Canis lupus familiaris: one gene and its partner. The protein of the gene in region 2 purifies or fractionates together with the protein of the main gene of each other region. This does not show direct contact. Links are inferred from orthologs where the notes say so. Each region holds a gene or a part of one and is shown on either strand. Other genes may lie near its edges. The genes, in order: DUSP6 and MAPK3.

What was found.
Region 1: the proteins of MAPK3 (region 2) and DUSP6 purify together in Homo sapiens (affinity purification with mass spectrometry; 7 studies listed by BioGRID and IntAct, with this or other methods). This does not show direct contact. The link is inferred for Canis lupus familiaris from reciprocal best matches to the Homo sapiens genes MAPK3 and DUSP6.

The regions. Positions count from the first base shown.
Region 1 is NC_049236.1:30,629,719-30,634,104, forward strand, and holds the start of DUSP6 (dual specificity protein phosphatase 6), read right to left. Parts: upstream 2,979-4,386; 5' UTR 2,443-2,978; coding exon 2,043-2,442; intron 1,466-2,042; coding exon 1,028-1,465; intron 1-1,027. UniProt on the Homo sapiens protein: Dual specificity protein phosphatase, which mediates dephosphorylation and inactivation of MAP kinases. Has a specificity for the ERK family. Plays an important role in alleviating chronic postoperative pain.
Region 2 is NC_049227.1:18,278,560-18,283,119, forward strand, and holds the start of MAPK3 (mitogen-activated protein kinase 3), read right to left. Parts: upstream 3,044-4,560; 5' UTR 3,030-3,043; coding exon 2,857-3,029; intron 1,843-2,856; coding exon 1,660-1,842; intron 1-1,659.

The DNA of each region.
Region 1 (4,386 bases), on a different chromosome or scaffold from region 2:
TCACTCTTTGTGAATGATCAGCCTAAGAACCGAATTTAGGAGGAAAAAAAAAAAAAGAAAATAAAGAAAGAAAGAAGAAAGACTCGTGTGTGGCAGTTGAGCCCCGCAGGCAGCAGCAAATGTATCATTGCGATAAAACATGTACACTGGGCACAATTACATATTTCAGATATTTTCTGAAAAGGCAGCTTTTGTATTAAGTTTCTGCCAACAAAAAAATCCTTAATGTGTGCATTCTTTGCCTCAGCATGTGAATACCAGAAACCCTGCAATATGGTCTTGAATGCCTTTTATACAGACAAGCAGACTGCAAGGGTCTATTAAATTATTCTCCAACTGTTGTGCAGCTAACAATGGAGGTATTCAGGCATTTTAAAAGAGAGAGGGAAGTCACAGGGGACAGCCCATTAGGAGGAACAGGATGTCGACATGGCCTGAAAATGAGTTCCTTTGTAATAGGAAATGCATTACAATGCCTGGAGATTCGCTTCTCCAGGCTTCCAGCCCACAGTCCTTCCTGCTGGGCTCAGGTTACCACTGTCTCACTGTTAACCGGTATCACAGTAACATTCAACTGGATTACAACATCCAGCATTCAGAGGGGTTTCCAACAACTAACCCGCTATCCTACTGTAACTCCCGGGGCTTTTAAAATTATAAAGCGATGCTAAAATGCCTGTCCGTAGGGAGTACTCTCATCTCTCATCTAGCCTTCCCCAAGTCCAAAGACTGTGAGAAAATTCTCTTGCCCGATTATGCACAGGCTGCTTTCAAATGAGTGAATGCAAAGACTCGAGAAACGCCGTTTCGAATACACCTGTGGTTTGCAGCCAAGTCGAAAGGCACTTTTCGTCCTCTTGGCGAGAAGATGAACCAGAATTAAGAACCCACCCCCACCCCCGTAACATTAGAGACCTGCAGTCGGCCGGGCTAGCCAGCGGCAAGAAAGATTAACAGCTTAGGTTCGATGAATGGCTGGGAATTTTGCATTTAAAAGTCTTGAGGAAGGACGGTTCATTAGTCTCACCTATGAAAGAAATGGCCTCGGGGAAAAACTGGGACAGGTTTTGACTCCAGTGATCCGAGATGGGGATCTGCTTGTATTTGAACTCTCCTGCGTTCTCAAAGAGATTCGGCAAATTGGGGGTGACGTTCAAGATGTATTTGATGCCGAACTCCTCCAACACGTCCAGGTTGGTGGAGTCCTTGGCACAGCCCAAGTAGAGGAAGGGCAAGATCTCCACGGGGAAAGAAGGCTGGCTGTTGGAGAGCGGGCTGCCATCCGAGTCCGTCGCGCTATTGGGGTCTCGGTCAAGGTCAGACTCAATATCCGAGGAGGAGTCGGAGCTGATCCGCAGGCCCCCGAGGCCCAGCACTGGCAACGGTGGCGAGCTGCTGCTACACGAGCCGTCCAGGTTGGTCTCGCAGTGCAGGGCGAACTCGGCTTGGAACTTACTGAAGCCACCTGCCAGGGCGAGAAGAGCAACCGTGTAACCTGAGATCCCGTAGTAGTTTTCACAGCTTGCGAGAGCCGCAGCCGGGCGGGCGCGGGCCACCCCACAGCAGCCTCCGAAACCCCCTCCACCCCGAGCCAACTGCAGGAGAGAGAGACACTTAAAAAAAACGTGCACCTTGGGGAGTGGAACGAACAGGCCCGCCTTCCCTGGAAACCCTTCTGCTTTCCAATCCGGAAATGCACAAAATGGCAACTTTTCTAAAATTTTTTTTTTGAGGGGCGAGGAGGTGCAAATCTGCAGCCCAGCCCCCCCTCCTCCTTCCCCCGGCCCGTCCCGTCCCGTCCCCCTTGCCCAGGGGCCTCTGCTGTCTTGCAAATCGTAGTTCAAAATCGAACGGTAGGAAGCAGGCACAGGTGGAGGCAGGGGAACTCGTTAGAAAGAAACCACGCGTGTCCGCGGCCGGAAGCGGGTGGATCCTGCGCCAGGCTGCTCGTGGGCGCAGCGGGCCTCACTTGCACCCCACAACCCCGGGCCTCCCCCATCACCCTCCCCCGCGCCCGGGGGGCTCCCCCGGCGCCTGCCTACCTTCCAGGTAGAAGGCCCGGCAGCCCTCGTCCTTGAGCTTCTTGAGCAGCAACCCAAGCACGGACTCGCCGCCGGTGTTCTCGTTCCAGTCGCTGCTGCTCTCGTCGTAGAGCACGACCGTGTCGGTGCCGCAGCGCCGCGTGAAGCGGTCGCGGTCCTCGCCGCGCGTGAAGAGCGCGCGCACGGGCAGGTTGCCCTTCTGCAGGCGCCGCAGCATGATGCCCGGGATGGCCACGTTGATGGCCGACTCGATGTGCGACGACTCGTACAGCTCCTGCGGCCGGCAGTCCATCAGCAGCAGCCGCTCGTTGCCCAGCTCCAGCTGCTCGTTGAGCCACGCCACGGTCTTGCTGATCGCCATTTCCGACGCGAAGGGCACGGGTCTGAGCGTATCTATCATGGGGGTCGAGCTGCCGGGGAGGGCGGGTGCCTACCAGACGGCCCTCGGGGCAGGCATAGGCCGGGCGCGCCGCGCGGAGCCGCCGCTCGCCGAGCAGCGGGGCGCTACCTCCACCTGGCCCTCCCCGCACCCGGGGCAGCGGCCGGGGCACGCGGGGCACGCGGGGCACGCGGGGCCGCGGCTCCCTCCGCACCCAGCTGCAGCCGCTCGCTCTCGGGGTCAATGAATCTCTTTGAATGAAGCTGCCCAGACAGTTTTGTTCCTCCCCAGTGAATGAAATCCAATTAATTCGGACTCCCTGCTACTAAGAGGGGAGGGAAGGGAAGGAAAAAAAAAAAAAGAAAGAAAGAAAGAAAGAAAGTCCAGCGGCTCCTAATCCCTCCCTTCAAGGCTGCACCTCAAATCCGCCCGGGCGCCTCTCTCCTCGAATTATTCAAACCTCGATTTGCTCACTGGCCCCTGGACTCAGCCCTCGCACACCCCCTGCGCGAGGCAGCTCCTCAATGGATACAAACAGCGAGCGTCTCAATGGATACATTCTCCCGGCCAGCCAATGAGCGCGCTGCGGAAGGGGCTGTTGCCGTGGGGACGGGCCGGCTGGAACAGGTTGTGTTGATGAATTGTTAATGAGTTTGTCATTCACAAAAACGGAAAGGAATTTCCGCTCCGGATAAGCCCCAGTGCAAACAAGCTGCAACAGCGGGCTCGGCGGGAGGAAGGAGAGAGAGGAGGAGGCGGCGGCGGAGGAGGAGCAGGGCACATAAACCGGGGCACTCCGGTTGTCTCATGTTTCCTTCTGTTGAGAGTTCACACTTCGCGTCGGAACTTTTGCGCACAAACGGTGCAATTAGCAGGCACAAAAGCCCTTGTTCGTGACGCCTGGGCTTGCAAGGCTAGCTTTAAGAAAACTTGTGCTTCCCCCCCCGCTCCTTTTTTTTTTTTTTTTTTTAATTCCCTTTAAACTCATTTGGACCGGAGTTCGCCTGGACCCCCCTCCTCCCCCCTCTCGGCGGTGTGTGGCATTTGTTTGCCCGTTTAAAAAGCCCAGCTCTGTTTGCTCTGATGTTCTTTTAGCCGAGGCTGTGTTGGGGCTGGTGAACTGCCTGGGCTTTAGTGACCGATGAGGTGTTAAATGCTAATCCAACATCTTTTCGAAACAGACTAGGATTTTTGTCGACGCTTTTTAAGGCAAGCAAACAAACAAATGCCTGGCTGTCCAGATGATAGGGAGAAAGGGTTTTGTCTTAAATTGCATTTAAATTAACTTTATTTTGCTTTTAAACAGTGGAGCCTGCAGAAACAAACTGGTTGGCCAGTCCGATGTTTTTATTCCTCTCCAGTGGCCTGGGGCGCTATGAGCCATCATTGTTCCGGGGATCCAAGCCCCCCCCCCGCGCCCCGCCCGCCCCCGCCGCCTTCCCGCGGTCACCCACCGCGCGCCGGGGAGCTGCGCTCGTTAATCATTTCTGGGCAGCAAGCTCGGCTTCCGACAGAGGAGCCGGGCTGGCGGGGCTGCCTGGGCTCGGTGCATGTAGGGCGCGCGGGCCCCCCGCAAGGCCGGGGGGGCCCGTCGGAGGGGAGCCTTCCGTCCCACCCAGGCGCCCCCCCCACCCCCGCCCCCCGCCCCGGGGCGCCGGGCACTTTGCGCAGCACCGGGCGCGCCTGCGCGTTGCGCTCCCGCCCAGCACCCCGCCCCCCACCCCCACCCCGGGGTGCGCGGCGCTGGGCGGCCCCGCGGAGGGGTCCGGGGTCCGGGGTCCGGTCACGGCCTGGGGTGGGCGAGGGGCGAGGCGGGGCGCCTGCCGAGACCTCCCCCGGCCCCCCGGGCTCGCCAGGAGGGCTGGGCGCCGCGGGGAGCAGCAGGGGAGCAGCAGGTACCCGGGAAGCGCCGGGCGGGCCGGGCACCGGATGGAGGCGGGGCGGGCGGGGGCCGCGGCGTGGGGG
Region 2 (4,560 bases):
CACCCCCTGAACAAAAGTACTTCCATTCCGTGGCCTCTGTTTCCTTATTGGGAAAAGCAGGGATGATAAACTGCAGGAAGCAGGAAAGCTTCACGGTTAAGAGCAACCACTCTGGACTTGTTTTGCTGGTGGCCAAACCCCCACTCCACTGCTCATTGGCCTCATGACCTCAACCCATCTGCACCTCCATTTCCTCATGTGGAAAGCAGGGGAGAGAGAGTGGCTCTTTGGAAAGCAGTTATGAAGACTCAGTGAGGTGACCCATGGAAACCAGCCGGCCCAGTCCAGAGCCTAGCATGTTGTAAGTGCTCAGCAAACATGAACTAGTGTTGCTATGATAAATGCCTAAGCCACATGGCTGTTGAGAGGGTTAAATGAGATAGTGTGAACACCATCTGGCATGCAATAAATGTTTGCTTAAAAATAAATGCCTGCCTTATGGGGAATGGTTTGGGCAAGACAAATGAGGAGAAACTCCCAACAGCATGCTCCTCCTCAAAGAGTGCCTGGCCATACATCAGAAGATGGAAGAGTAAATGTCCTTTGGTATTTTAAGAGAAAACAAAGATTAAACATACGTTAAGTAAATAAATAAATAAATAAATAAATGCCATTTGGTTGCTCTCTGAAAGAATAAGTCAGGGCTGTCTTTTAGAATCAGCCTTGAAAGAGCCTTCTGAAGACACCTGGGCCGATTATGCTGTTTGAGAGGTGAGGAGGCCCAGCAAGATGCAGTGACTTGCTTAAGGTCACACAGCAAGCTAGTGGCGAGTGTGGAGATTTCCTGCCCACAGCTTGTGGTGGGGGCTGCAGACAGTGCAGCACAAATCCCCACATTTGGGTGGAGAACTGGGACTGGCTGGGGGTGGGTAGGGTGGGGAGAGGTGATGGGTGCTATAAGCTGCTAACAACAGGGCCTGACAGGAAGTGGACGACAAGCTAGGGAAGCAATGTGGGGGGGGGAGGGCAACAAAGACAAGGCTGTCCCTCCCTGGGCGAAGTGCAAGTCCACAGGTGACTGGGGTGAGGCTCTGAGCAGGAAATGTCAGAGAAAGGACAGTTCTCATCTGGGGGAGGTTAGGAGGCAGCAACAGCAGCACCTGATTTGGGGCTTTCTGAGCCTCAGTTTTCTCATCTTTGAAATGGAGCTGATGAGACCCATCTCATACAGCAGCTGGGAGGTAGAATAAGAAGTGTCAAAGCATTTGGCGTGCACTGCACCTCACTCATAGTAGGCCCTTCAGAACGGGCAGTTTTCTTCCTTCCTGCCTTCCTTCCAGTCTGCAGACCCAGAGAGGAAAGAATCATCATCTGTTAAACAAGAACTGTCTGTGGGCAGAGGCTGGGTCACGTCACAGAAATGCAGATGTCAAAAGACAAAGCTCCCATAGAGCCCAACTCTCACCCTCCCCCCAAATGAGGCACAGCATGGAGCACAGACTTGCCCAAGGCCACACAGCCTGGTTACAGCAGGCCAGGATTCACCTCAGGCCTCCCAGTCCTCTTACACTCTGTGGTCTCTTTTCTGCTGGAAAGTTTCATTTGCTGGGTTTGTTTTGGAGTGTGGCAGGAAAGAAGGAAACAGAAAGAAAGCCAACGTTCTCCCAGCCCGGCTCTGAGGCTATGCCTAGCCAGCCATCTGGCCAAGGTGAAGGATACACATCCCTCATGGCGTCCAGGGTGGGCGCCCGCAGAATGTCCCGAATGCCAATGACGTTCTCATGGCGGAAGCGCAGCAAGATCTGGATCTCCCTCAGTGTGCGCTGGCAGTAGGTCTGATGCTCAAAGGGGCTGATTTTCTTGATGGCCACGCGAACCTTGCGCACGTGGTCGTAAGCTGAGCTGAGAGGGTCAGAGAGATGTTGTTGGTGTGGCCTTACATAGGGGGAGTCCAGGCCTGGTGGCCCTACCCAGGCCTGAGCAGGGAGGGGAGGGAGCATGAGAGGACTCTGGCCAAGTCATAAACAATGCTGGTTCCTTCCTGCTGTGAAGGCCTGGGATCTCCAGGGAGAAAGCTGGGGACCAGCCAGGCAGCCCTTCGGTGACTTCACAAACAGAGGAAGAGACTGACCGTTCACTGACTTCCCCTCTCCTCAGCCCTGTCCATTCTAGTTGCCCTGACCTCTCATCCTCCCCTCTCCAGGCTGGGCTCCTTCAACCCAAGACAGGTCCAGGGAGTGGGAGGTGAGTGCAGGACGCACAGTGAGGCACAGTGAGAAGGAGGCGGTCAGGAGGGATGGGAAAGAAGGGATGAGGTGTTAGGGTCAGGCACCTGGGCAGGAGAGCTGTTCCCAGATGAACAAAGGCCCAGAGCACACAGTGGGGACGAGAGAGCTAACAGACCCCTTCTAAAAGTTGCAAGAACGCACCCCTGGACCCCTCATGGGTCACCGGGCTCCTGGCCCCAGGCCCAAAGCCCTGCCCCACCCTGCCCAGCCCTGAGCTCTGCTCTCCCCAGCTCCTTGGCAGGCCTCACTGGGAGAATCCAAGGCATCCTTTCCCCAGAGTAGGGTCCTTCACTCGGTCCTCACTGATATCACCTCCCCAAGAATACTTCGTGTCTCCGCCTCCTCCCGCGTCCACAGAGTCCCCAGGGTCCCCCCACGGCTCCCCCGCGGACACTCCGATGCCCCTCCCTTCACTACAGAATGGTCGCTCCTGAGGCCTCCCAAGCCCCCTCCCCTTAGAACGTAGGCGGCGCCGCTCCCCCAGAGCACCCCAGGGCCGCGCCGTGGGACGCCCCGCCGGCCTCGTGAAGCCCCCGCCTCCTCGGGACCCTGGGAGCGCCCCGGCCCGAGGGCACTCACCCTCGCGCGCGCCCCCCCACGAGCCCCCTCCTCCGGAACGCCCCCTCACCTGACCATGCCGTACGCGCCCTCGCCGATGTAGTGCAGCTCCGTGTAGCGCGGGCCCACGTCGAACGGCTGCCCCTTCACCACCTCCACCTCCCCCGAGACCCCCGGGCCGACCCCATCGGCTCCCCGGGGCTCCCCGCCCCCGCCCCCCTGAGCCGCCGCCGCCGCCGCCATCTCCACTCCTCCCCTCCCGCCTCCCCGCCTCCCCCCGGCGGCCCCGCCCGAGGCCCCGCCCCTTCCCGCCCGCCCCGCGCCCCGCGCCCCGCGCCCCGCCGCCGGCTGAGCCGCGTGCGCCAGGCCCCGCCCCCGCGCGCCCCCGCGCGCCCCCGCGCGCCCCACGTGACCCCCGCGCGCTCCCGGGCGCCCTCGGCTGCTGCCCGGGTCCCCGGTGCCCGGCCGCTCCGTCTGCTGCTGGCAGCCCGTAGGGACGAGCGCGGCGGCCGGGAGACGGTGCACCCCTCCCGCCGAATGCAGGCTATAGCCGGCAGGGCCGCCAGGTGACCTTCCCGGAGCCACCCAGCAAGCGGGTGCGGGAGCTGGGGCCGGGACCGAGTCGCCTGGCCCCGCCAGCTCTGCTGCCAACCGAGTCGCGGCCCGGGGCTCGAGATGGAGCCCCAAGGGGGCCCTCCCCAGCCCTCTGGAGTGTGGCCTCCGAGCGAGGCTCGGCCCGACGACACACGGCCGCATCCGCATTTCCCAGTAGCGTGGGAGATGGCTTCTTCGCAGATACGGCCTGCCTTTCACAGATGAGGGGCCGAGGCTGGTGACTTGGAGCCACCGAGAACCCGCAGGTCCAGACTCAGCCTAATGGGTTTCTGACAGGCCTGCGAGAGTGGACTAGGGGCTTGGCCTCTTGCCAGCGACAGTACAGTGCTGGAAGTGAGCACCCATAACCTCAGCCCATTTAGGTGGAACTGCAACAGAAGGGCGGGAAAGCTGCCTGCAGTGTTGACCAGGTTTGGTTAAAATACACTATCAGGCTTCTCTCAAAAAACAGCAAAATAGGTGACGATTTTGTTGTCATTGGACTTGGTGAAACTGGAATCCTGGCAGGATCACCATCTTTTGATGGGATGCAAGATTTTGTAGTTTACACCATACTTGGACCAGCTGGGTTTCTTCCATAGGACAACCGCACATTATAGGTGTCCTCCGATTTTCTTAACAGGATGAGCAGGGGCCATGTCTGTCTTGCTCATTACTGTATCCTCCCCTGTACCTGACGCTCAGACGTTCAAAGATTTTTGACTGGATAAATCAAATTGTATGGATGGGGAGTTGAGACTTAAAATGATATCTTTTGACACAGAGGCAGAGGCTCTTTTCAATTCCATTCAATCTCCCAGAATCAGAGCCTGTTAAAACCCAGGAAAGGGCCCTCCGAGGCCATCCAGTCCATTCCCCTCACTTCACAGAGAAGCTGTGAGCTGGACGCTTCACAAAACACATCTCCTAGCCTTCAGTAAGTAACCACGTTGGGTTTTGTTTGTTTGTTTGTTTTATAATCCCTTAGAAGCTAAGAGTAGATCCTTATGTGCATTACAGATCAAGAGACCAAATGGAACAGTAATTATGATTCTGAAATTGCTCATAATTAGATCTACAGCCAGGCACTCTAATTCAGATTAATGAGACTGAGTAGCTGGTTCCCAATAGCCTACAAGTCAGTGAAGGTTTAAGAGATGCTAATTAGATCAATGTTTCA